4 linked regions of the Saccharomyces cerevisiae S288C genome follow. Changing the gene in region 1 together with any one later gene gives a genetic interaction. Each region holds a gene or a part of one and is shown in the gene's direction. Other genes may lie near its edges. The genes, in order: SEC23, RNA14, SED4 and SEC31.

Region 1 (5,401 bases):
GGGACAGACAATAAAAGGCATATAACTGAAAGGGAGTACTTAAAGAGACATATAAAGAAAGATTTTTTTTTTTCGTTACCATTCACTTCCTTTAAAAGACCAAATGGTATAGCTGGTAGCAAACGTAGAAGAACAGAATGGACCAGAAAGTAATGAAAAGGATAAGGTTATTGGCGCCAAACTTGAAGACGTAGAGCTCCTTAAGTTGTTGCAAGTATTGGATAATGACTTTACCTGACAGTTTGGATTCACCTTCCGTTCTCACGCCGAAAGTGAATGGCACTTCGCCGATCGCCACTCTAGGGTCTCTTGGAAGAGGAAGCTTGGCGAGAAGCTCGAGGGCAATCTTGAAACCTTGCGAGTTGATGTCCCTAGGGTTGCAGTTTTCGAGGTACTTCTTTTGTAGACCGAAGAACCCGCTCATGGGGTCGGAGGCGATGGTCAAAGGTCTGGCCATCATTCTAGCAGTGGAGGAAATGACGCGTCTGTACATAGGCCAGTCCTTGTCAATGCCGACACCTGGGGCATATCTGGTGCCCAGAGTAAAGGCGTGATCGTGCAAAGACTCGAACAACTTGGGCACGGTCTCTGGAGGGTGTTGTAGGTCTGCGTCCATGCATACCAGGTACTGACCCTTGGCCTCGTAGAAACCCTTAAGCACGGCGGAGGATAGACCACGTTCATTTGTCCTGACGATGATGCGGACGTTGTAGCCTTGGTGAGCTAGGGCGTCCACCTCCTCAACGGAGCCATCCTGTGAGTTGTCATCGACAAAGATCAACTCGGTCTTCTTGGCCATTTCAGGGCTCATGCCGGCAAACAATCTGGTTGTTAAGGGTTTGATGTTCAGCTTTTCATGGTAAGCGGGAACGATAACAGAGTATTCGATGCTCATTGTGGGTGCGTGTATGTTTGTGTGTAATTGAAGCGATAGCGTTATTACAATAGCGGTCTATATGAGTTAGGAACACGTAAGAATACTGAAAATTTTTCAAATACTGGAAATCCTTTATTTTTCCACGCTATTTGTCATGCGAGGGAAATCCAGAGGCAGGAATAAGGAAGAAAAATAGAACAATATAAAGCAAGAAAATAAAAAAAAAATACGCGATGCGAGTGCTATAGAATGATATTGTATTACAGTAGAGGGCGTATGTAAATATACTGGTATGTAAGGGAGATGAGCACAGTCGTCTTAGTTCGGCAGCTCCCTGATGTACAGCACGTTATTGCAGCGGATGAATATCTCGCCCAGGGTGCCGTGCGAGACACCCGCAACAAACTCTTCTGCTTCGTTCAGCTGCAGGTTAAAGTAGTTGTCCGTGGACACGAGCGTACCTCTATATTCGGTGCTGTTGAACTTAAGCTTGACGCCTACACGATGGTTGACCAGGCCTTTGAGGAACGGCTTCGGGTTCACCGGCTGCATCGCGCTGATATCACTGCTCTCGCTCATTGTCTTGTTGTGTTGTGACGTAGTGTGTGGTGTGGTATAGTACGCGGTGCTGTGTGTGCTGTGCTGTTTTTGCGTTGCTCATAGAACCGTTGTTTCTTGCTCTTACCATCTCATGTTCATATATGTTGGGGAAAAGAGGTGGAACAAGAAAAGTTACCCGGACGGCAGAGCGGTTGTTTTGCCTGCTTTGCCATAATACAGGATGGGATCACACACCCCCCAAGCCATGCTACAACTTGGAAGAGTGCAATTCAAGTTGGTTGTCCTCAGTAGTTTGAGAGATTGCGCTAATTTTGTTTTATCACCGTTATTTACTGTCAGTTGAGATTTGTCGCTTGCGACGACTAGCCCGCCGCCTCTCGTTTGTTACAAAGGAGGAAAGTTCTAGCAAGAATAAAAGAAAAACACGTTTGAAAAAAGAAAAAAAGATACTTGTTGTGATCTTTCCACGTTCAGCAAGACACACAATTAACTGAAGCCAGTGTTTATCTGTCTGTCGCCTGCCTCCCCTTCCTCTTTTCTAGCCATGGACTTCGAGACTAATGAAGACATCAACGGGGTCCGTTTCACCTGGAACGTGTTTCCCTCTACTAGAAGCGACGCTAACAGCAACGTCGTCCCTGTGGGCTGTTTGTACACACCTTTGAAGGAGTATGACGAATTGAACGTTGCCCCATACAATCCAGTTGTGTGTTCCGGTCCACACTGTAAGTCGATTCTAAATCCTTACTGTGTGATTGATCCGCGCAATTCGTCCTGGAGTTGTCCCATCTGTAACTCCAGGAACCATTTACCTCCACAGTACACCAACTTGTCACAGGAGAATATGCCGCTAGAGTTACAGTCCACCACCATTGAGTACATCACCAATAAGCCCGTTACCGTTCCTCCCATTTTCTTCTTTGTTGTGGATTTGACTTCGGAAACCGAGAACCTCGATTCGCTAAAGGAGTCTATCATCACTTCTTTGTCTCTATTACCTCCCAACGCGCTGATTGGGTTGATCACTTACGGAAACGTTGTTCAATTGCACGATCTGTCCAGCGAAACTATTGACAGGTGCAACGTGTTCAGAGGAGACAGGGAGTACCAGCTCGAAGCGTTGACGGAAATGTTGACCGGCCAAAAGCCTACCGGCCCCGGCGGTGCTGCATCTCATCTACCGAACGCCATGAACAAAGTTACGCCCTTCTCTTTGAATAGGTTCTTCCTGCCCTTGGAACAGGTCGAGTTCAAACTGAATCAATTACTGGAAAATCTGTCTCCAGACCAATGGTCTGTTCCAGCGGGTCATAGGCCATTAAGGGCCACAGGTTCCGCTTTGAACATTGCATCTTTGCTTTTACAGGGCTGCTATAAGAACATCCCAGCAAGAATCATTCTTTTCGCCTCCGGTCCAGGCACCGTGGCCCCAGGTTTGATTGTTAACTCAGAGTTAAAAGATCCCTTAAGATCCCACCACGACATCGATTCTGATCACGCGCAACATTACAAGAAGGCCTGTAAGTTTTACAACCAGATTGCACAAAGAGTTGCCGCCAATGGACACACTGTTGATATTTTTGCCGGTTGTTACGATCAAATCGGTATGTCTGAAATGAAACAGTTGACCGACTCTACTGGAGGTGTGTTGTTGCTAACCGATGCCTTCTCTACCGCGATTTTTAAGCAATCATACTTGAGATTGTTTGCCAAGGATGAAGAAGGGTATTTGAAGATGGCTTTCAATGGTAATATGGCAGTCAAGACAAGTAAAGACTTGAAGGTACAAGGTTTGATTGGGCATGCTTCTGCTGTAAAGAAGACAGACGCTAACAACATCAGTGAATCTGAAATCGGTATAGGTGCAACGTCCACCTGGAAGATGGCTTCCTTATCGCCTTATCACTCGTATGCGATTTTCTTTGAAATTGCAAACACTGCGGCTAATTCTAACCCAATGATGTCTGCCCCTGGTTCAGCAGATAGACCTCATCTAGCATATACTCAATTCATCACTACTTATCAACACTCCTCTGGTACCAACCGTATCAGAGTCACCACGGTCGCAAACCAGCTTTTGCCCTTCGGTACTCCTGCCATTGCAGCTTCTTTCGATCAAGAAGCTGCTGCCGTTTTGATGGCTCGTATTGCTGTTCACAAGGCTGAAACCGATGATGGTGCAGATGTTATTAGATGGTTAGACAGAACTTTGATTAAGCTATGTCAAAAGTACGCCGACTATAATAAAGATGATCCTCAATCTTTCAGGTTGGCTCCAAATTTCTCACTGTATCCTCAATTTACCTATTATTTAAGAAGATCCCAATTCTTAAGTGTCTTTAACAATTCTCCGGATGAAACTGCATTTTATAGACATATTTTCACAAGAGAGGATACGACTAATTCTTTAATCATGATTCAACCAACTCTAACTTCTTTCTCAATGGAGGACGATCCACAACCGGTATTATTAGACTCTATCTCCGTCAAACCCAATACCATTCTATTATTAGATACATTTTTCTTCATCTTAATATACCACGGTGAGCAAATCGCTCAATGGAGAAAAGCCGGTTACCAAGACGATCCACAGTACGCAGATTTCAAAGCTCTTCTTGAAGAGCCAAAATTAGAAGCCGCAGAATTGTTAGTAGATAGGTTCCCGCTACCAAGATTCATTGATACTGAAGCCGGTGGTTCTCAAGCCAGATTCTTGTTATCTAAATTGAATCCTTCCGATAACTATCAAGACATGGCGCGCGGAGGATCTACAATTGTCTTAACAGATGATGTTTCCTTACAAAATTTCATGACTCACTTACAACAAGTAGCCGTCTCTGGTCAGGCATAGGAGCAACGGCTTTCTTTTGTTTTATTTGATCGTTATTAGGCTTTTTGTATAATATAAGGCCTGTTCAGTCCATTGCGCGTGCAAGAATTTTCCTTTGGACCTGAACGAAAAGAGTAGAGGATTTTATATAATATATTCTCCGTCTTTTTTGTACTGCGTGGCCTTTACTACGAATATCTGTATCTAATTTCTTTTCTAACTTTTTTATTACCATTACTACTACTACTATTATTATTATTATTATTATTATTATTATTATTATTATTGTGTATGACTATAATGCTTTACTGCCTCCAATTATGCTTTTTTTATTATTTTTTTTGGCTGAAACTACAGTATAGTAGGTATGTATATATCTAAAACTCAAAAAGTGGCATGTCTAATGTAATACCATCAAAAACAATGAAATTATTTAATGGAGATAGCCTTTTACCTAGAATGTTAATGACATCCTGCGCTACAGCACCCCCTATAATGGCCGCGACAGGAGCAAACTCGATACCTTTCTGTTTGATAAACTGTTGTATGTAATCGTCCTTTACCACTGTTGCTGGTACACCCAGATTTTCACACCATACGGCCGCATCTCTTTTCATTTGTTCAAAGCTTATGGCCTTGCCCTTTTGGTTGAGACCATATTGCAATAAGGACAGGGTTAACGGCAAGATACTAGTGACTCTTTTTAACTGTCTTTGCGTCATTTTTTCCTTTAATGTTGCTGTGCTTAAAACTTCGTTCAGTGGCCTATAGCAGTTCTTGGTCTTGATTCGTTCATATGTTTTTTTTTCATCTTCTTCATCTTTTCTAGTAGTAACTTCTATAATGCTCCTATTGCTTGAAATGGGACCAACGGTGGTAGGTCTTACACTTTGCAATTTTTCATCCTCTGAAATGAATTCAATCAAATCAATAAAAACATAAGCGAACAATCCATTAGAACCAGCAACATATAATGGAATGTTTAGTTTTCGAGTTAATGTGTTAATTTTGATTGCTTCATCAATCTGCATTTCTGTAGCCACGACTAAATCAAACTGCTGAAAGAACTCTTCGTCCTTTTCTTGCAAATCCTGCTTATCAAAGTTCAACTCTATACGGGGGTTCAAGTCTTG
Region 2 (4,892 bases), on another chromosome or scaffold:
CAATTGCAATTTATGGTATGATGGATATGGAAGATGCGACCGAAAAGGTTATTCGAGACTTGCACGTGGACCCTGAAGTCTTGCTAAATGAGGTTGATGAAAATGAAGAGCGTCAGGTAAACGAAGATCGTCATTCCACTGAAAAGCATCAATTTTTAACTAAAGCCAAACGGTTCTTCTAATAAAGGAAGATCATGTATTTTGCGGTTAACCTGTTTTTTTTTTTTCGGTCAAGGGTTCCAAATGCATTTGCATGTAAAGTGAATGCCCTTGTCTTACTTAATATTACATAGACATATACTTAATAATCTACCACGTTTCAAATTCAATAATGCATGCTTCTTGGCGGTTTTTGACATGAGATCCTCATCTGTCACGAGGCTGATGTGCATACTTTTACTTTTAATCGATGACATGATCAGTTTCTTTTGAACAAAAAGCCGTTATGGGTTGAAAAAAAGTGAAAATGAAAAAGTCATCAGAAATATATGAAAGATATAATAAATTGTCGAAGAGAAATTACGTCGAGGAGGTTGAGGAAAATAAGAATGGCAACGACAGATATCATATCTCTAGTAAAAAATAATTTACTCTATTTCCAAATGTGGACGGAAGTGGAAATTTTACAAGACGATTTATCATGGAAGGGAAATAGCCTGAGATTACTGAGAGGTCGTCCGCCTCACAAGCTGAGCAACGATGTAGACACAGAGCATGAAAATAGCTTGTCATCGCCACGCCCGCTAGAGTTCATATTACCCATCAATATGTCACAGTACAAAGAGAATTTTCTCACTTTGGAATGCTTGAGCCAGACATTTACTCACTTATGTAGTCCATCTACTGAAAGAATACTGCTGGCCATAATTAACGATGATGGTACAATTGTTTATTACTTCGTTTATAAAGGAGTACGAAAACCGAAAAGAAATTGAAAAATGAACTTAAAGACACCTTTCTGCATTATTTTGTTTATTTTTATTATATGTATTTACAGGCTAAATTATATAATGACATCACAACGTTTCCTTGCTCTCTAAATTGAGGATCTCTTTGCTCCAAGTTATTACTTGGTCTATGGACGAAGTCATCAATTTTGTTCGACATACTATTCAATAATTCACTTCCAAAGGTTTGTTCCAGTTTTGAACGGATGCGGTTACCATCAGGTAGGCCTAACTGAACGTAAAGATTTGCAAGGAAAAGAAGGTCGGAGGAAAGTATTACAGAATCATCCAGTTTTTTACGGGCAGCCAACCAATTGCTGACGCAACTCTGTAGTCTATTATCAAATTGAAGATTATATTTCACCTGTTGTAGCTCTTGCTTACCCTTAATTTTGTTCTTATGCGCAATTTTGAAGGTCTTTGATTGTGCTAGTTGCGAGGCTGACTCCATTGCTTTACTTTCTACAAATTCTTCATCATCCTCAAGGGTCAGTGAGCCTATAATCTCCTCACAATTTTCACGTGCTTGCGATCTTAGTTGCAATGGCGTATTATACCACATAGGAAAATATAGCAATTTTGAAAACAACTTCTTGGTATATTCATTGTAATTTTTGGTGTTCAAAAAGAGCTGGTAGTCCGTTAGTCTGGAAATTTCAACGTCAACATAATTCAATAGGGAATACTCTAAAAGGCGATCCTTTTTTCTAACAATTGCTAAATCTTCTTCATAATCCGTACCTTTCTCATATTTGCTAGTACATATATTTTTATGTAAGAATTGTACGATGTTCACGTAACCAGATACTTTCGTTCCATTATCTAAAATTAACACTGGTAGTTTTCCATCTGATGATAGGTCTGTATTGTTTGAGAATACGATCTGCAATCCCGCAACCATACTCTTTGCCTCTTCTGAAGTACATAACTTGATAAACCATACAAGCGCAATGCTGTCCACTGAAATCAACGATGCTTTGCCATCCTTTCCCCATAAATGCACACTACCTTTAACCATTACTGACTCGATAATAGCCTTGCTTTGCGTTTATTTGAAAAATACAAATTCCAGCATTAAATAGTAGCCATTCTAAATAGCTTATTTCTTATTACATTTCCCACTTCGTTTAAAATGATAACAATCGTGACAAAATTGTCGGTTACCTTGTAATAATTAAGAAGAAAAGTGTAGCTTGTGTGATGAAAGAGTATTCTACAACGAAATAAAAGGCCAAACTGGAGAGTCAAACAAGAGATATGTCCAGCTCTACGACTCCTGATTTACTATATCCCTCTGCGGACAAAGTCGCAGAGCCTAGTGACAATATACATGGAGATGAACTACGACTTAGAGAAAGGATTAAAGACAATCCCACGAATATTTTATCATACTTCCAGCTTATTCAATATTTGGAAACTCAAGAGTCATACGCTAAGGTGAGAGAAGTATACGAGCAATTTCATAACACATTCCCGTTTTATTCACCTGCGTGGACTTTGCAACTAAAGGGTGAATTGGCAAGAGATGAATTTGAGACTGTTGAGAAGATTTTGGCTCAATGTCTTTCTGGCAAGTTGGAAAATAATGACCTATCTCTTTGGTCAACATATTTGGACTACATACGCAGAAAAAACAACTTAATTACTGGTGGACAAGAGGCGAGAGCTGTTATTGTCAAGGCATTCCAACTAGTTATGCAAAAGTGTGCAATTTTTGAACCCAAATCATCTTCTTTTTGGAACGAATATCTCAATTTTTTAGAGCAGTGGAAGCCATTCAACAAATGGGAGGAGCAACAGCGAATTGACATGCTCAGAGAATTCTACAAGAAAATGCTATGTGTTCCTTTTGATAATCTAGAAAAAATGTGGAATAGATACACTCAATGGGAACAAGAAATAAATTCCCTAACAGCCAGAAAATTTATTGGCGAGTTATCAGCCGAATACATGAAAGCCCGTTCCTTATACCAGGAATGGTTGAACGTTACTAATGGATTGAAAAGGGCATCTCCAATTAATCTGCGCACAGCAAACAAGAAAAACATACCACAACCAGGTACCTCAGACTCAAACATTCAGCAGTTACAGATTTGGTTGAATTGGATAAAATGGGAAAGGGAGAATAAGTTGATGCTTAGTGAAGATATGCTATCACAAAGAATCAGTTACGTTTATAAACAAGGTATTCAATACATGATATTTTCTGCTGAAATGTGGTACGATTATTCAATGTATATATCTGAAAATTCGGATCGACAAAATATCTTATATACTGCGTTATTAGCTAATCCCGACTCACCTTCTCTTACATTCAAGTTATCCGAATGCTACGAACTGGATAATGATTCTGAAAGTGTTTCTAACTGTTTTGACAAGTGCACTCAAACTTTACTATCGCAGTATAAAAAGATCGCCTCCGATGTAAATTCGGGTGAAGATAATAACACAGAGTATGAACAAGAGCTGCTATACAAACAGAGGGAAAAATTAACATTCGTGTTTTGCGTGTATATGAATACGATGAAAAGAATATCAGGACTATCCGCAGCACGTACTGTATTTGGTAAATGTCGTAAACTGAAGCGTATATTAACACATGACGTCTACGTGGAAAATGCATATTTAGAATTTCAAAATCAAAACGATTATAAGACTGCTTTTAAGGTTTTAGAATTGGGTTTAAAATACTTCCAAAACGATGGAGTTTATATCAACAAATACTTAGATTTTTTAATATTTTTAAATAAGGATTCGCAGATCAAAACCTTATTTGAAACATCAGTGGAAAAAGTGCAAGATTTAACCCAGCTGAAGGAAATATACAAGAAAATGATAAGTTATGAATCGAAATTCGGTAACTTAAACAACGTTTATTCTCTAGAGAAAAGATTTTTCGAACGGTTCCCCCAAGAAAATTTGATTGAAGTTTTCACAAGTCGTTATCAAATTCAAAACTCCAACTTAATAAAGAAATTAGAGTTAACTTATATGTATAATGAGGAAGAAGACAGTTACTTTTCTTCTGGAAACGGGGATGGCCATCATGGCTCTTACAATATGAGTTCGTCAGATAGAAAGAGACTAATGGAGGAAACTGGAAACAATGGAAACTTCTCCAATAAGAAATTCAAAAGAGACTCAGAGCTTCCAACAGAGGTTCTTGATTTATTGAGCGTTATACCAAAACGTCAATATTTTAATACAAATTTACTCGATGCGCAGAAATTGGTGAATTTTTTAAATGATCAAGTAGAGATTCCAACAGTTGAGAGCACCAAGTCAGGTTAACATTACGTTAATAAATAGGTATATATGAATATTTATACCAACACATCTATTATAATAGGCGAACCTCTGTATGTAATTAAGTAAAAAAAAAACGATGTGACAGGATAGTTAAGGTGCCTCGTACATAAATAAAAACGGAAATAGTTAATTCTTTCAAAAATATGGCAATAGCCAAACTCATTCAGAAGGTACAGGAAACACTCTGTTTCTGTGCGTTTATATAACCATGCTTATAAAAGAAAGATTGAACAAAATATACATGAATTTATGAACGGTAATCACCGTTAATTGTTACATATTCATGTGATAAATCACAAGTCCAAAATTGTGCTGCCTGATCACCGGTTCCCAAGTCGACAGACACTTCCAAATCATTCAAAGCCAATATTTCAGAAGCCCTTGTTTCATCGATCTCCAATTGTGGCACACCATTAGCGACAAGCTTCAGCTCACGAGGTTCTGAATTGTCGGTAGCAATAAAGCTAACATTAATTTTGTTGACATCTAGAGATTTTAAGTCATTCAGCTTTGCATACCCGATCGCGCACAATATTCTTCCCCAATTGGCATCTTGCCCATATAGTGCGGTTTTGACCAACATAGAGTTTGAGATTGATTCAGCAATTATTTTGGCGTCTTCAAAATGCAAAGCAT
Region 3 (6,481 bases), on another chromosome or scaffold:
CAACTCGTATTTGGTGCAGAAGCCAAGCCAATTGCGGCCTACACAGGTAGATGAAGAGGTAGTAGTAGCAGTGGTGCGAGTCGTCGTGGTTGGTGCAGCGTGGCTTTTAGTCTTGGTAATGAGCCTCGATGAGGATTCCCAGTCTCTGCTTGGAATAAACTTCCAGTTGTAGCAATCTACGCAGGGCTCTGGTTCAACGCACTTGGCAGCCTGCTCGTATCCAAGGAGAACTTCGTCAATGACTTTGTGGATTCTGTGGTTGAACATGTTTACACTCCAGCCCTTGTCGTTGACCACATCGTAGACACAGACTCTACCAGTGTGGCACGCGGTTTCCATAGCGTAGCCCACCAGTGAGCAACTTGAACTAGCTCCGTTGCATGTACCCATGAAGATTGGGTCTGCGTTGTGACCGAAGTGCCAGATACCCTCCATGTATGAGGGAAGTCCCGGTGGGAATGGTAAGTGAAGTCTTTTTGAAGGTAGTAGCTCTCCAGGGGACTCGAATGCGACCGCAGGCAATCCAAAAGTGCGGCCCAGTAAACTGGCCAATGCGCCTCCCAGTGAGTGGCCTGTGACCCATATGGCCGCATCGGGGTATTCTTTGAGGACGCCTTTGTATATGTCAACGACTGCAGAGTAAAATCTATCCTTACGTCTCAGTTCCTTTTCCAGGCAAGACTCATCGCATATATACGACTTCACATAGCAATCGCACACGGTAGTCCACAGGTAGCTCACTCTTGCACAACAACACGAAAATAACAAATTATCGTTGATCTTGTCGTTTCCAGTTGTCTCATCTTCGCCAGACCCTGGCAAACCCTGAGCGCTGGTTCCCTTTATCGAGAGTACCACGATATTCTCCACTTCATTGTAAAAGACGTGACCACGTATACCATCACCATCCCAACCAAAATCTTCCGGCTCTGTTTCATTCCACGGCTCCGTGACGTTACGCCAGTCTCCCGTTTGCGGTATTCTCACGTAAGCATTAGACGACATTAATGCTAACGACACTACTGTACCTCTATCTGTGATATTGGGTGCCACAATGTCATCATCTATCCACATGGCGTGTTCTTCCTCCTCCGTCATGTATGTTTCTCCGTAAATGTACGACTCTATGAATTCAGGATCTCTTTCCTTCATCCGCTTCATCAATAGCGGCATCCTTCGTAGCTCAAACTCAAAATCGAATGGGTTAGTGGTGGCATATTCGGCATTAGTAGTCCATAGGGGTTCTTGGTCTTCGAAATCCTGTCCTTGAGTTGTGGTTTCTTGATACAGCATTCCAGCGGCAGAAATAACTTCTGGAGTGACCTCCAGCCTCTGGTGTAGCCGATGGTTTGCTCCGACGCCATGCCTGTAGATAGACTTAAGTCTAAAGGTTCCATCAGATTTTTGATCCATGGCACCCCTGGATGAGCTCTTCCCTACCGATAAATAATCCGGTAAAGCAAAGTAGTAAGCAATAAGGCAGAGCACTGTAAGCGTTAGAATGCATCCTAGATGCAAAGGAGAAGCAAATCTCTTTCTTGAAGGGCTTTTATGCAACATTCAATAGAATATTTCCCTTGTTTCCTTTAATTGTAATGCCTAGATCAGTTCTCAATCACGATAACAATTTTCTGAGCAGCGGCGTACTTTCTTTGACTTATCCAAAAGGTTGACACTGATTTGAGTGTCTCAAAAGCCTTTAAATGATAGAAACAAGGCTTTTAGGCTAGTCTTATGTAATAGAGAAAGTTCATCTATATCTACAGATTCTTATTATGTACTGTTGAACAAAGGTGCGGGTAACTGCGATCACACAATCACTTTTTTCCGGAAACGGCTGTCTTCAGCGAACAACAATATAGTAGAGATACTGTATTCAACTGGAAATGCTTTCCCTTTTGCCCTATCATTATTTTCTTTCCGATGTTATGCTTATTATATCTGTGATTGATAAGAGAAAAAAAAAAAAGTGACAGCTATAGAGAAAAAAAAAAACCCTTAGAGAATCCTACCTGGAATATATTTAATGAGCAAGTCTATCTGCTGCACATTGGTCACGACACATGTTAGTGTATATGGCCCAGCCTATGTATTTACGATTTAAATCACCTTGATAATTATTAAACGATATCCAGTTTATTTCGTATTATGTTACATCTGTCAAGCCCTTACTTAGCAATTTTGAGCCCTAGTATTTTTGACCACATTTGTAACTGCCCTATTTTATTATCCTTTTAGCCCTCCTGTCCTTTTTTCTTGGTTGTAGTAATTTTCATTTATATCTCGAGAATTGTACAGTGTAAATGAGAACTGTGAACGCTTCAAGTAACCTACGCTTATAGCTGCTTCGATCGACGGAGGCTGTTTGTCAACAAGCATCACAATTCCCTACGATACGTCCTCTCTTCCTTTTTTTTCTCTCCTTTTAAACTTAGAAAAACTAGCATAATAATGAGTGGCAACTCTGCAAACTATGACGTCGGATATCCGATATATGGTGCTAAATTTATAAATGAAGGCACTCTACTGGTGGCTGGTGGTGGAGGCCAGTTCAATTCCTCGTTTCCAAACAAAATTACAGCTTTAAAGGTGAACTTCCAGAAAAAGAAACACATTAGAAGGTTTCGTGAGATCACATTAGATTCGATTGACGATGCGCCCACTTCATTGGATTGTAATAATAACCTGATTCTAGTTGGTTGCAATGAACTGTTTAATGATTCCTCCATGGAGAACGTTAACCACCACTTGAGGAAGTTTGTGTTTGAACAAGAACATCTAAAATTCGTGGCCAGTATTGATTTCAACAGAACTACAGACCCATCCGTTTTCACTAAGTTTGTTTACATTAATCAAAGGGCCACAGTAGCTGCAATTGCGTCCTCTGAAGTGCCCACTGTGATAAGAATCATTGACCCGCGTAATTTGACGGAAAATTACGAAATTGAAACGGGTAGGGAAGTTAATGATTTGCACTTCGCCCCTAACGGTATTCTTTTGTCATATATCACTTCTAATTCTTTGGAAGTAGCGTCTGTTAGGGACGGAAATTTTGTAGCAAGGAAAACGGATTTTGATAAAAATCTTGTTCTTTCTAATATCAGGTTTCTCAATGACAATACGCTATTAGTGGCAGCATCATTATCGAACTCTGATGGAGTTTCCTTGTTAAAACTAGGTGTGAGTTCCAAAGGTGTTAAAATTTTAAAAACAGCATCCTTCATGTTCGATTTGAATGGAATAACATCGATGGATGTCTCCCCAAATAAGAAGTTCGTTGCATTATCATCTAACGATAACTTGGTTGCCATCGTCAGCGTTGAAAAGCTAAAGCTTGTTCAGTTGGTTCCAAGAGTACATGAATCTACTATAACAAAAGTTACTTTTTCTCCAGATTCTAGATATTTGGCAAGCACTTCTATGGGGAACACGATCAACGTTCTGAAGCTTTCCGGTACATCGTCATCAATTTTACGAAATATTTGGAAATTTTTCTTGAATTTTGTTTTGTTAGTGGTTTTGGCTGGCGCTATTCAACTAGGCTACAAACATAATGTGCACGGCTTTATTTACAAACATGCTCATGATATATATAAGTCGAAATTCAAGGAAAACACTACCATAGACCAAGGATCTTCTTCTTATTTCACTATTAATGACGATTACAGAGGCATTACTGAAAGTGCAGATATCATCAGCGCTACAGATGTTGCTAGCGATATAGAGACTGAATTTTCCTCATTTGACACTAGCACTATGAGAACCACCACAGAAGATGAGCAAAAATTTGTTTGGATATCGTCATCAGCTGATTCACAATTCACTTCTGCAGATATCCCAACATCAGCTTCTTCTTCTTCTTCTTCTTCTTCTTCTTCTTTCTATGAAGAGAGTGTCACTAATGAACCAATTGTGTCTTCACCTACCTCTGAAATTACGAAGCCGCTAGCCTCTCCTACAGAACCGAATATTGTCGAAAAACCATCGCTTCCACTGAATTCAGAGTCGATAGATTTGTTATCCTCATCTTCAAATTCTATCACAGAATATCCTGAGCCGACTCCTGACTTGGAGGAGAAATTGTCCTCGTTAATAGTAGAACAATCAGAAAGCGAAATAACAACAGATAGAGAAAGCGTTTCAAAACTCTTAAGTACTGAATCACCTTCGCTATCACACATGCCGTCTTCATCTTCATCTTCATTATCTCTTTCCTCATCGTTAACAACTAGCCCTACTACAGCATTATCCACAAGTACCGCGACTGCGGTTACCACCACACAAACAAACCCCACCAATGATGCAGCCAACACATCTTTTCTAGACAACTCAAAACCGGCATCCACGAGAGAGATTTATAAGACAAAAATAATCACTGAAGTCATTACAAAAATTGAGTATAGGAATATACCTGCATCAGATTCCAATGCAGAAGCCGAGCAGTATGTTACAACATCTTCTTCAATGTTGTTGACGCCCACAGACACTATGGTTTCTTCGCCCGTCTCCGAAATTGATCCCATAGCATCAGAATTAGAGCGTATGGTTGAAACACCTACGCATTCTATTTCTATAGCATCCGAATTTGACTCAGTTGCGTCTAATTTGATCCCAAATGAAGAAATTTTGTCAACATCAGCATCCCAGGACTCTATTTCCTCGCATCCGAGTACATTTTCTGATTCATCTATAACCTCTGGCTTCCAGTCAATAGAAGTATCGACTGTAACTTCTTCTGTTCTTGCTTCTGAATCAATCCCTTCAATCTCAGATTCCACTTTTTCTAAATTTCATTCCATCTCTGAACCTGTTTCATCAGCTATTGTGGAGACGGCAACTAGCTCATTCTCAAAAACAGAAACGAAGACTTCGAGAGTAATTGCTTTCTCTACCGAGGATTCAGAACGCTCCAGTGCCTTGATTGATAATTCGGAATACACCAGTGTGTTGGCTGACAATTTGGAACCCACTAGTGTTTTGGCTGACAATTCGGAACCCACTAGTGTTTTGGCTGACAGTTCGGAACCCACTAGTGTTTTCACTGATGCTGTACAATCACCTAAGACGAGTGTTGGTCAATCTTCCCTATCAGAATCCACAAATATTGAAGGGACTTCTATGGCATCTATGATCTTTAGTAGTAGTGGTGCTTCAATTGGCGCTCTGTCTGATATAGGCAAGGGAACTTTATCCGTGGAGAGCGCGTCAAGCACAGTAGCTCAGCCGATGCCAGGTGTAACCACAACAGCACCATCTTTTGTAAGTAGCCCTCACAAAATATCTGCTAGTTCAATTGATGCATCAGGATTTGTACAGAAAGAAATAATGATAGAAGTACAGTCATCAAAAGATTCATCTGAAGCGTTTGGGGTACGCCACAAAATCAGCGAAAATGTAAATACTCCTGTTTCCCGAATGCTTACGACGGAAATGCAGGCATCTGGTACGGTAGATGTTACCGAAGACGTCTCTCTATCTAGTGAAGTTATTTCAGCACTTAACGTGGAGATCACTTCTTTGCCTAATCCAGTGGCCCCTCCGCAAACAATTGCAGCACCTTTGAATAATAATTCGAATACAAACATTGTCAACGATGATAATGCAGTAGCAGGAACCGTAAACTACGCTGGCCTTCATGACGAATTGTGAATAACGAAATAATATATATTAATGTTAAATATGATTACATAGCTTTGTGCACATATCTCTATGTCATCTTTTATGCATTTATATTTTGCCCATTTTTAAATAAATTATTAATTAACAAATGTGCACAAGCTAACAAACAGGCCTGATTACATATACACACCTTAATTGTTACCGGGTGGGTCTTTACTATATTCATTCAAGTCCATTAATTCTCTTGATAAGTCAGCATCAGTTGAATCTTCGTTAGGCAAATTTCTTTCACCAGCAACTCTATCTTCGTTGATAACAGTGTCCTGATCCTTCTCCATTTGCTGATCCTCGGTTCCCTGGTCACTTTGAACTTTTTCAACACCATCTCCATCATTAGAATGTCCCACTGAACCTGAACTGTCCGATGAACCTGTTTTTATTTTCATTTTTGCTTCCCTGATAAGCCTAGCAAAATCCTTCCGAAACATAACCATCCATCCTTTCCTATTAAATTTATCGTTTTTGAAATTTTCAAGTAATTTCCTATATGAAGAAGATTTCCCATTACTCTTCATTATCATTAATTTAGAAATTCCACCCTTGTTGCTACTATTTTGGGGGGTTTTATTGTGTGAAACATCCCAGCTTAACAACTGTCTTTTTAGTTCAGCTTCATCAACAGGTTCTAGAGAATCACAAAAATTAGAATTCCAAAGCATTTCGTAGTGATTGTATCTTTTAATCATGTTTTGCCTAGTACCATTAGTTGACAGTCCCAACGATGACAGTTTTTGTTTTATTTGGGATTGAGTCATAGACGTAAAATTGATCTTCGGCAATCTTTGGTGTTCTGCACTCATCA
Region 4 (7,049 bases), on another chromosome or scaffold:
GGCGAGTGGACACGATTTTTCGCTACCAAGTTTTTGGAATATGCCCAAATGGTGTTTGCGCTGGGCTGGTGGTAGCCGTTGAATTAATGATTGCACGTAACTCTGCAGTAGCTTGATGGTATTATTTTTTCTTTCTAAATGCAAGTGGGTAGTTCGGCTCCTCTCATCGGCCATTTTCTTATGCAACCTTAGATCTTGCAATTCCTGTTCCTGGATAGCGAACAAATCCTCTGGATTGTTTTCCTCAAAGGGGTCCACCAAAGTCACATTGGTGGGGATTTGTACTTGATTTTGTGTTTCTGTTTCTATTTGCCCCTTTGTTTCTGATTGTTGCGATAGTTCTGCTTGTAATGCTTCGATAGTCTCCCTCTGGTTAGCGATGCTTTTCTTGTAGGATAACATCGTGAGATTGGCTTTGTCGACCAGCTCAGGAATACATTTAAGATAGTCATCCTTTGCTTTAGCCTGCTTCTTCAAGTGCTCCAGTGATTTGGTTGCTTGTAGCAGTTGCATTTTCAAGTTATTCACTTTGATTTCGGAATTTTTTCTCACGTTATTCAGTTCTCGCCTCACTTTGGCCAGCTCTTTTGAGCTTTCTGCATCAAACACCTTGCTGTCTAAACTTAGTTCTAGTCCTTCGTAGTATTTTTCATGGAACGTGTGAATCTCATCTAACTTGGTGTTCACCGTGTTCTGGACGTTTTTGTAGTCCTGTAACTTGGCGCAGATTTCCTTCTTGAGATTAACAAGCAAAGTGTATTCATCGTAGTTGCGTTCTTCTTTGCTAGAGGGAAGTCGAACAAGTTCGATTCTCTTTTCAGCAGAGCTCTTGTGCGTTTCCTTTAACGCGTTGTTCTCATCCAGGATACTTTTCATTTTTCCATGTAAACTAGCCATCTTAATTTCATAGCCTATGATCTCGCCGGACAATAACTTGGCGCTAGACACTAAAGCGGCTTCATTTTCTCGGTAATGATTCACTAAAGATTGAAGCTCCTTGACTTTGCTTTTCATCTGCCTTAAAGATGACTTCTTTTGTACTCTTGAGCTGCTGAGGCCCTTCGTCACAGCCGCATATTCCTTGTCCGAGTTGAAAGATGAGCTCGACTCCTGATCACTACCATCTATCACACTGCGAGTGATGGCATCCAAGACACCACGATTTTTTGGCATAAGCACTCAGTCTTGGCCTTTTTCCCTCCTTTCTCCACTGATCGAAGCTGTGTGCAAAAATCGTCCCCGGTGTTTATTTATTTGTCCTATGGATAGATATGTTACTCACGCGTCGCGTCGCTCCTAAAGACATGAAAAGCGCTTTTACATCTTTGCTAATACTAGCATCGCAGAAGATCTTCTCCATTGCTATGCAACATACCTGCCTTGGTAGTTGGTTTCATAATTTACAATATACAAAGTTATATGCCCTCCGAGTCAAGGAAAAGATTGTCTTCCAAAAAAGGTGCAACTGTGCGTTTAGAATTGGTGGAGAATTATGTGATATGCTTCTTCACCGTCCTCTGCTTCTGCCTAATACCACACTCATCAATTGACTGGAGATCTGGCCTATCTTGCTACTACTTCATAGATTTTTTTTTTTTTCATCTATCCCCTTCCATCCCCTTCTGGTTCTACCCCTTCAGCGTGAAAAATCACCATACACGATCAATCCGCCCGAGAACGAAAAGTGAAAAGAACAAACAAGTCGTGTCAGATCCATTCCTCTATTCCTGTAGTCGGGTTGCATTCTGAATTTACACGTCACGAACCAGCACTATTTCGCTACTGTAGGTGTAGAACATTAGGACAAGGCAAGCTTCTGCGATAGACACTTTACTCACACATATTTCCCTTTGTTCCCGTTTGCTCTCCCTAATTGAACAATAAAGATGGTCAAACTTGCTGAGTTTTCTCGAACAGCCACGTTTGCGTGGTCACATGATAAAATTCCATTATTGGTCTCTGGTACCGTATCTGGTACGGTGGATGCTAATTTCTCCACTGATTCATCTCTAGAATTGTGGTCATTGTTGGCTGCTGATTCGGAGAAGCCTATTGCTTCCTTGCAAGTGGATTCCAAATTCAATGATTTGGATTGGTCTCATAATAACAAGATTATTGCTGGTGCTCTGGATAACGGTAGTTTGGAATTGTACTCCACCAATGAAGCAAACAACGCTATCAACTCCATGGCCAGATTTAGCAACCATTCTTCCTCTGTGAAGACGGTAAAGTTTAACGCAAAGCAAGACAACGTTCTTGCTTCGGGTGGTAACAACGGTGAAATTTTTATTTGGGACATGAATAAATGCACTGAATCGCCCTCCAATTATACTCCATTGACACCGGGTCAATCGATGTCGTCCGTTGACGAGGTCATTTCCCTAGCATGGAACCAATCTTTGGCCCATGTTTTTGCATCTGCCGGGTCGTCTAATTTCGCATCTATTTGGGATTTGAAGGCTAAGAAGGAAGTCATTCATCTAAGTTACACTTCACCTAATTCAGGTATCAAGCAACAGCTGTCCGTTGTTGAATGGCACCCAAAAAACTCCACAAGAGTGGCAACGGCTACTGGTAGCGATAATGATCCATCTATCCTGATCTGGGATTTAAGAAACGCCAACACACCATTGCAGACTTTAAATCAAGGCCATCAAAAGGGTATTTTGTCATTAGATTGGTGTCATCAGGACGAACATCTATTATTGTCCAGTGGTAGAGATAATACCGTTCTTCTATGGAACCCTGAGTCAGCCGAACAACTGTCCCAATTCCCAGCTCGTGGAAACTGGTGTTTTAAGACCAAATTTGCACCAGAGGCTCCAGACCTATTTGCTTGTGCCTCCTTTGATAACAAAATTGAGGTACAGACTTTGCAAAATCTCACAAACACTTTGGATGAGCAAGAAACCGAAACTAAGCAGCAAGAATCTGAAACAGATTTTTGGAATAATGTTTCCCGAGAGGAATCAAAAGAGAAGCCAACTGTTTTCCATTTACAAGCCCCAACTTGGTATGGGGAACCATCTCCCGCAGCTCATTGGGCTTTCGGTGGTAAATTGGTTCAAATTACTCCAGATGGTAAAGGTGTATCTATAACAAACCCAAAAATTTCAGGCTTAGAATCAAACACTACTTTGAGTGAAGCGTTGAAAACTAAGGATTTCAAACCATTAATAAATCAAAGACTGGTCAAAGTTATTGATGACGTTAATGAAGAAGATTGGAATTTATTGGAAAAGTTATCAATGGACGGTACTGAGGAGTTCTTGAAAGAGGCTCTTGCATTCGACAACGATGAATCAGATGCACAAGACGATGCCAACAATGAGAAAGAAGACGATGGGGAAGAATTCTTTCAACAAATTGAAACCAATTTCCAACCCGAGGGCGATTTCTCCTTGTCTGGTAATATCGAACAAACTATTTCCAAGAACTTGGTTTCTGGCAACATTAAGAGCGCTGTGAAAAATTCTCTAGAGAATGACTTACTAATGGAGGCCATGGTGATCGCATTAGATTCAAATAACGAAAGATTAAAGGAAAGTGTCAAGAATGCCTATTTTGCGAAGTATGGATCTAAATCATCGCTCTCGAGGATACTATACTCCATTTCTAAGAGGGAAGTAGATGATTTGGTTGAAAATTTGGATGTCTCTCAGTGGAAGTTTATCTCTAAAGCAATTCAAAACTTATATCCAAATGATATCGCCCAGAGGAATGAAATGTTGATTAAATTGGGAGACAGGTTAAAGGAAAATGGTCATAGACAAGATTCTTTGACTTTGTACTTGGCTGCCGGATCATTAGATAAGGTGGCTTCAATTTGGTTATCAGAATTTCCAGATTTGGAGGATAAATTGAAGAAAGATAATAAGACAATTTATGAAGCTCATTCCGAATGTCTAACTGAGTTCATTGAAAGATTCACCGTATTTTCCAACTTCATTAATGGAAGCTCTACCATTAATAATGAGCAATTAATTGCCAAATTTTTGGAATTTATCAACTTAACTACTTCCACAGGAAATTTCGAACTAGCCACTGAATTCTTAAATAGTTTACCAAGTGACAATGAAGAGGTTAAAACAGAAAAGGCACGTGTCTTGATTGCTTCCGGCAAATCATTACCGGCACAAAATCCTGCGACAGCGACGACCAGCAAAGCCAAGTATACAAACGCCAAGACAAATAAGAACGTTCCTGTACTACCAACTCCTGGAATGCCTTCTACTACTTCTATTCCTAGTATGCAGGCACCATTTTATGGTATGACACCAGGCGCCTCTGCAAATGCTCTACCTCCAAAGCCGTACGTTCCAGCAACCACCACTAGTGCTCCTGTTCATACAGAAGGTAAATATGCGCCACCAAGCCAACCTTCGATGGCGTCACCTTTTGTTAACAAAACAAATAGCTCGACCAGATTGAATTCTTTTGCTCCTCCGCCTAACCCATATGCCACTGCAACAGTTCCTGCAACGAACGTATCTACAACGTCGATTCCGCAAAACACTTTTGCTCCTATACAACCTGGTATGCCTATTATGGGCGACTATAATGCTCAATCTAGCTCTATTCCTTCACAACCTCCAATTAATGCTGTATCGGGTCAAACGCCACATCTCAACCGTAAAGCCAATGATGGTTGGAATGATTTGCCTTTGAAGGTCAAAGAAAAACCATCTCGTGCCAAGGCTGTATCTGTTGCCCCTCCAAATATCCTATCGACACCAACTCCATTAAATGGTATCCCTGCAAATGCTGCTAGTACCATGCCTCCGCCACCTCTTTCCAGAGCTCCCTCTTCTGTGTCAATGGTATCACCACCTCCTCTACACAAAAATTCTAGAGTCCCATCCTTGGTTGCAACTTCTGAGTCACCAAGGGCATCCATATCAAATCCATACGCTCCTCCTCAATCATCACAACAATTCCCAATAGGTACTATTTCTACAGCAAACCAAACGTCAAACACCGCTCAGGTAGCTTCATCGAACCCCTATGCTCCACCACCACAACAAAGAGTAGCAACCCCATTATCTGGAGGCGTGCCTCCAGCTCCGTTGCCAAAGGCCTCTAATCCATATGCTCCAACTGCAACCACTCAACCCAACGGTTCCTCCTATCCTCCAACCGGTCCGTATACTAATAACCATACCATGACCTCTCCTCCTCCCGTTTTTAACAAACCTCCCACTGGCCCCCCTCCGATTAGCATGAAGAAGAGAAGCAACAAGTTAGCTAGTATAGAACAAAACCCATCTCAAGGTGCTACTTATCCTCCAACCCTTTCCAGCTCGGCCTCTCCATTGCAGCCTTCTCAACCGCCAACTTTGGCTTCTCAGGTTAATACCTCCGCTGAGAATGTCAGTCATGAAATTCCAGCTGATCAACAACCCATTGTCGACTTCTTGAAAGAAGAACTGGCTCGCGTAACACCATTGACCCCAAAGGAGTACTCCAAACAATTAAAGGATTGTGATAAACGATTAAAGATTCTTTTCTACCATTTGGAAAAGCAGGATTTATTAACCCAACCAACAATCGATTGTTTACATGACCTCGTCGCATTAATGAAGGAAAAGAAATACAAAGAAGCTATGGTCATCCATGCTAATATCGCTACAAACCATGCTCAAGAGGGTGGTAACTGGCTGACAGGAGTGAAGAGGTTGATTGGCATAGCTGAAGCGACTTTGAATTAATTCAGTCTCAAAACTTTCAGTACAAAAAGTGGCGTATTGGCCTTGTTTTTTTCTTATTATGTCTTATAGTATTATATTTATATATTTATGTACTTATCCTTTTATGTTTAAACCTAATCAAGATCACAATTAGAACTAGCTTAACATTACTTCTCAAAACCAACCAATACCTCTTATATCTTTTTTACAGCCTTTCCCTTATGTTTTTACCATGTACACCTCGAGCGGCAAATCTCCGGGGAAATTTTAAACTTGCCGCATCGCACATTCTAAAGAACAAAAGGAGGAGGAACTGTCAATTATTCTATAATCTGGGGAAATTCAGTCATACTGAGAAAAACTAGACAATAGTCCTATCCTCGGCAAATTGCATTGATAGTACTTACACATCGAGAGATCATAGGACAGATAAGAAGCATTTTATTGAAGAAAAACAGAGAGAGTCACTATAAGTTGACCTCACTATAGAAATTAAAACAGAAAAGTTTTACTGAGGACCTTTTTAAACAGAAGGATATGCCTTTGTTGGCATAGAAAGAAGAATTTATAAATGGATCCTAATAGTAACAGTTCTAGCGAAACATTACGCCAAGAGAAACAGGGTTTCCTAGACAAAGCTCTTCAGAGGGTGAAGGGCATAGCACTGCGACGAAACAATAGTAACAAAGATCATACAACAGATGATACGACAGGTAGCATACGAACCCCTACGAGCTTGCAGCGGCAAAATTCTGACAGGCAATCTAATATGACATCCGTGTTTACGGATGACATTTCTACCATAGACGACAACTCAATTTTATTTTCAGAGCCTCCTCAGAAACAATCTATGATGATGTCTATATGCGTAGGTGTTTTTGTTGCAGTTGGCGGATTTTTATTTGGTTATGATACAGGTCTGATCAACAGTATTACATCTATGAACTATGTGAAGTCACACGTAGCACCTAATCACGATTCATTTACCGCCCAACAAATGTCCATTTTGGTGTCATTTTTGTCATTGGGAACTTTTTTTGGGGCTTTAACTGCACCATTTATATCTGATTCGTATGGCAGGAAGCCTACTATCATTTTCAGTACAATTTTCATCTTCTCTATCGGAAATTCTTTACAGGTAGGTGCTGGAGGAATCACATTATTGATTGTGGGAAGGGTCATTTCAGGTATCGGTATAGGCGCAATTTCAGCGGTTGTTCCATTATACCAAGCAGAAGCTACACATAAATCATTAAGAGGTGCTATTATTTCTACTTACCAATGGGCCATTACCTGGGGCTTGCTCGTGTCAAGTGCAGTGTCGCAAGGGACACACGCAAGAAACGACGCATCTTCGTATCG

The links.
Region 2: mutations in SEC23 (region 1) and RNA14 together harm fitness more than expected from each alone (negative genetic interaction), as found in Saccharomyces cerevisiae (2 studies listed by BioGRID).
Region 3: mutations in SEC23 (region 1) and SED4 impair growth when combined (synthetic growth defect), as found in Saccharomyces cerevisiae (4 studies listed by BioGRID, with this or other methods).
Region 4: mutations in SEC23 (region 1) and SEC31 together harm fitness more than expected from each alone (negative genetic interaction), as found in Saccharomyces cerevisiae (3 studies listed by BioGRID, with this or other methods).

The regions. Positions count from the first base shown.
Region 1 is NC_001148.4:896,249-901,649, reverse strand, and holds SEC23 (GTPase-activating protein SEC23), read left to right. Parts: upstream 1-1,982; coding exon 1,983-4,289; downstream 4,290-5,401. Other genes in the region: DPM1 (dolichyl-phosphate beta-D-mannosyltransferase), read right to left, coding at 92-895; mRNA splicing protein SMX3, read right to left, coding at 1,196-1,456; E1 ubiquitin-activating protein AOS1, read right to left, coding at 4,646-5,401. UniProt on the Saccharomyces cerevisiae protein: Component of the coat protein complex II (COPII) which promotes the formation of transport vesicles from the endoplasmic reticulum (ER).
Region 2 is NC_001145.3:390,551-395,442, forward strand, and holds RNA14 (cleavage polyadenylation factor subunit RNA14), read left to right. Parts: upstream 1-2,204; coding exon 2,205-4,238; downstream 4,239-4,892. Other genes in the region: ferroxidase FET3, read left to right, coding at 1-182; SEN15 (Sen15p), read left to right, coding at 549-935; SAM complex subunit SAM37, read right to left, coding at 982-1,965; ARG7 (glutamate N-acetyltransferase), read right to left, coding at 4,504-4,892. UniProt on the Saccharomyces cerevisiae protein: Component of the cleavage factor IA (CFIA) complex, which is involved in the endonucleolytic cleavage during polyadenylation-dependent pre-mRNA 3'-end formation and cooperates with the cleavage factor NAB4/CFIB and the cleavage and polyadenylation factor (CPF) complex.
Region 3 is NC_001135.5:232,293-238,773, reverse strand, and holds SED4 (GTPase-activating protein SED4), read left to right. Parts: upstream 1-2,451; coding exon 2,452-5,649; downstream 5,650-6,481. Other genes in the region: triglyceride lipase ATG15, read right to left, coding at 1-1,560; E3 ubiquitin-protein ligase RAD18, read right to left, coding at 5,811-6,481. UniProt on the Saccharomyces cerevisiae protein: Putative guanine nucleotide-exchange factor (GEF) involved in the formation or budding of transport vesicles from the ER. Positive regulator of SAR1 probably through inhibition of the GTPase activation by SEC23.
Region 4 is NC_001136.10:105,322-112,370, forward strand, and holds SEC31 (Sec31p), read left to right. Parts: upstream 1-1,886; coding exon 1,887-5,708; downstream 5,709-7,049. Other genes in the region: ASF2 (Asf2p), read right to left, coding at 1-1,173; SNF3 (glucose sensor), read left to right, coding at 6,259-7,049. UniProt on the Saccharomyces cerevisiae protein: Component of the coat protein complex II (COPII) which promotes the formation of transport vesicles from the endoplasmic reticulum (ER).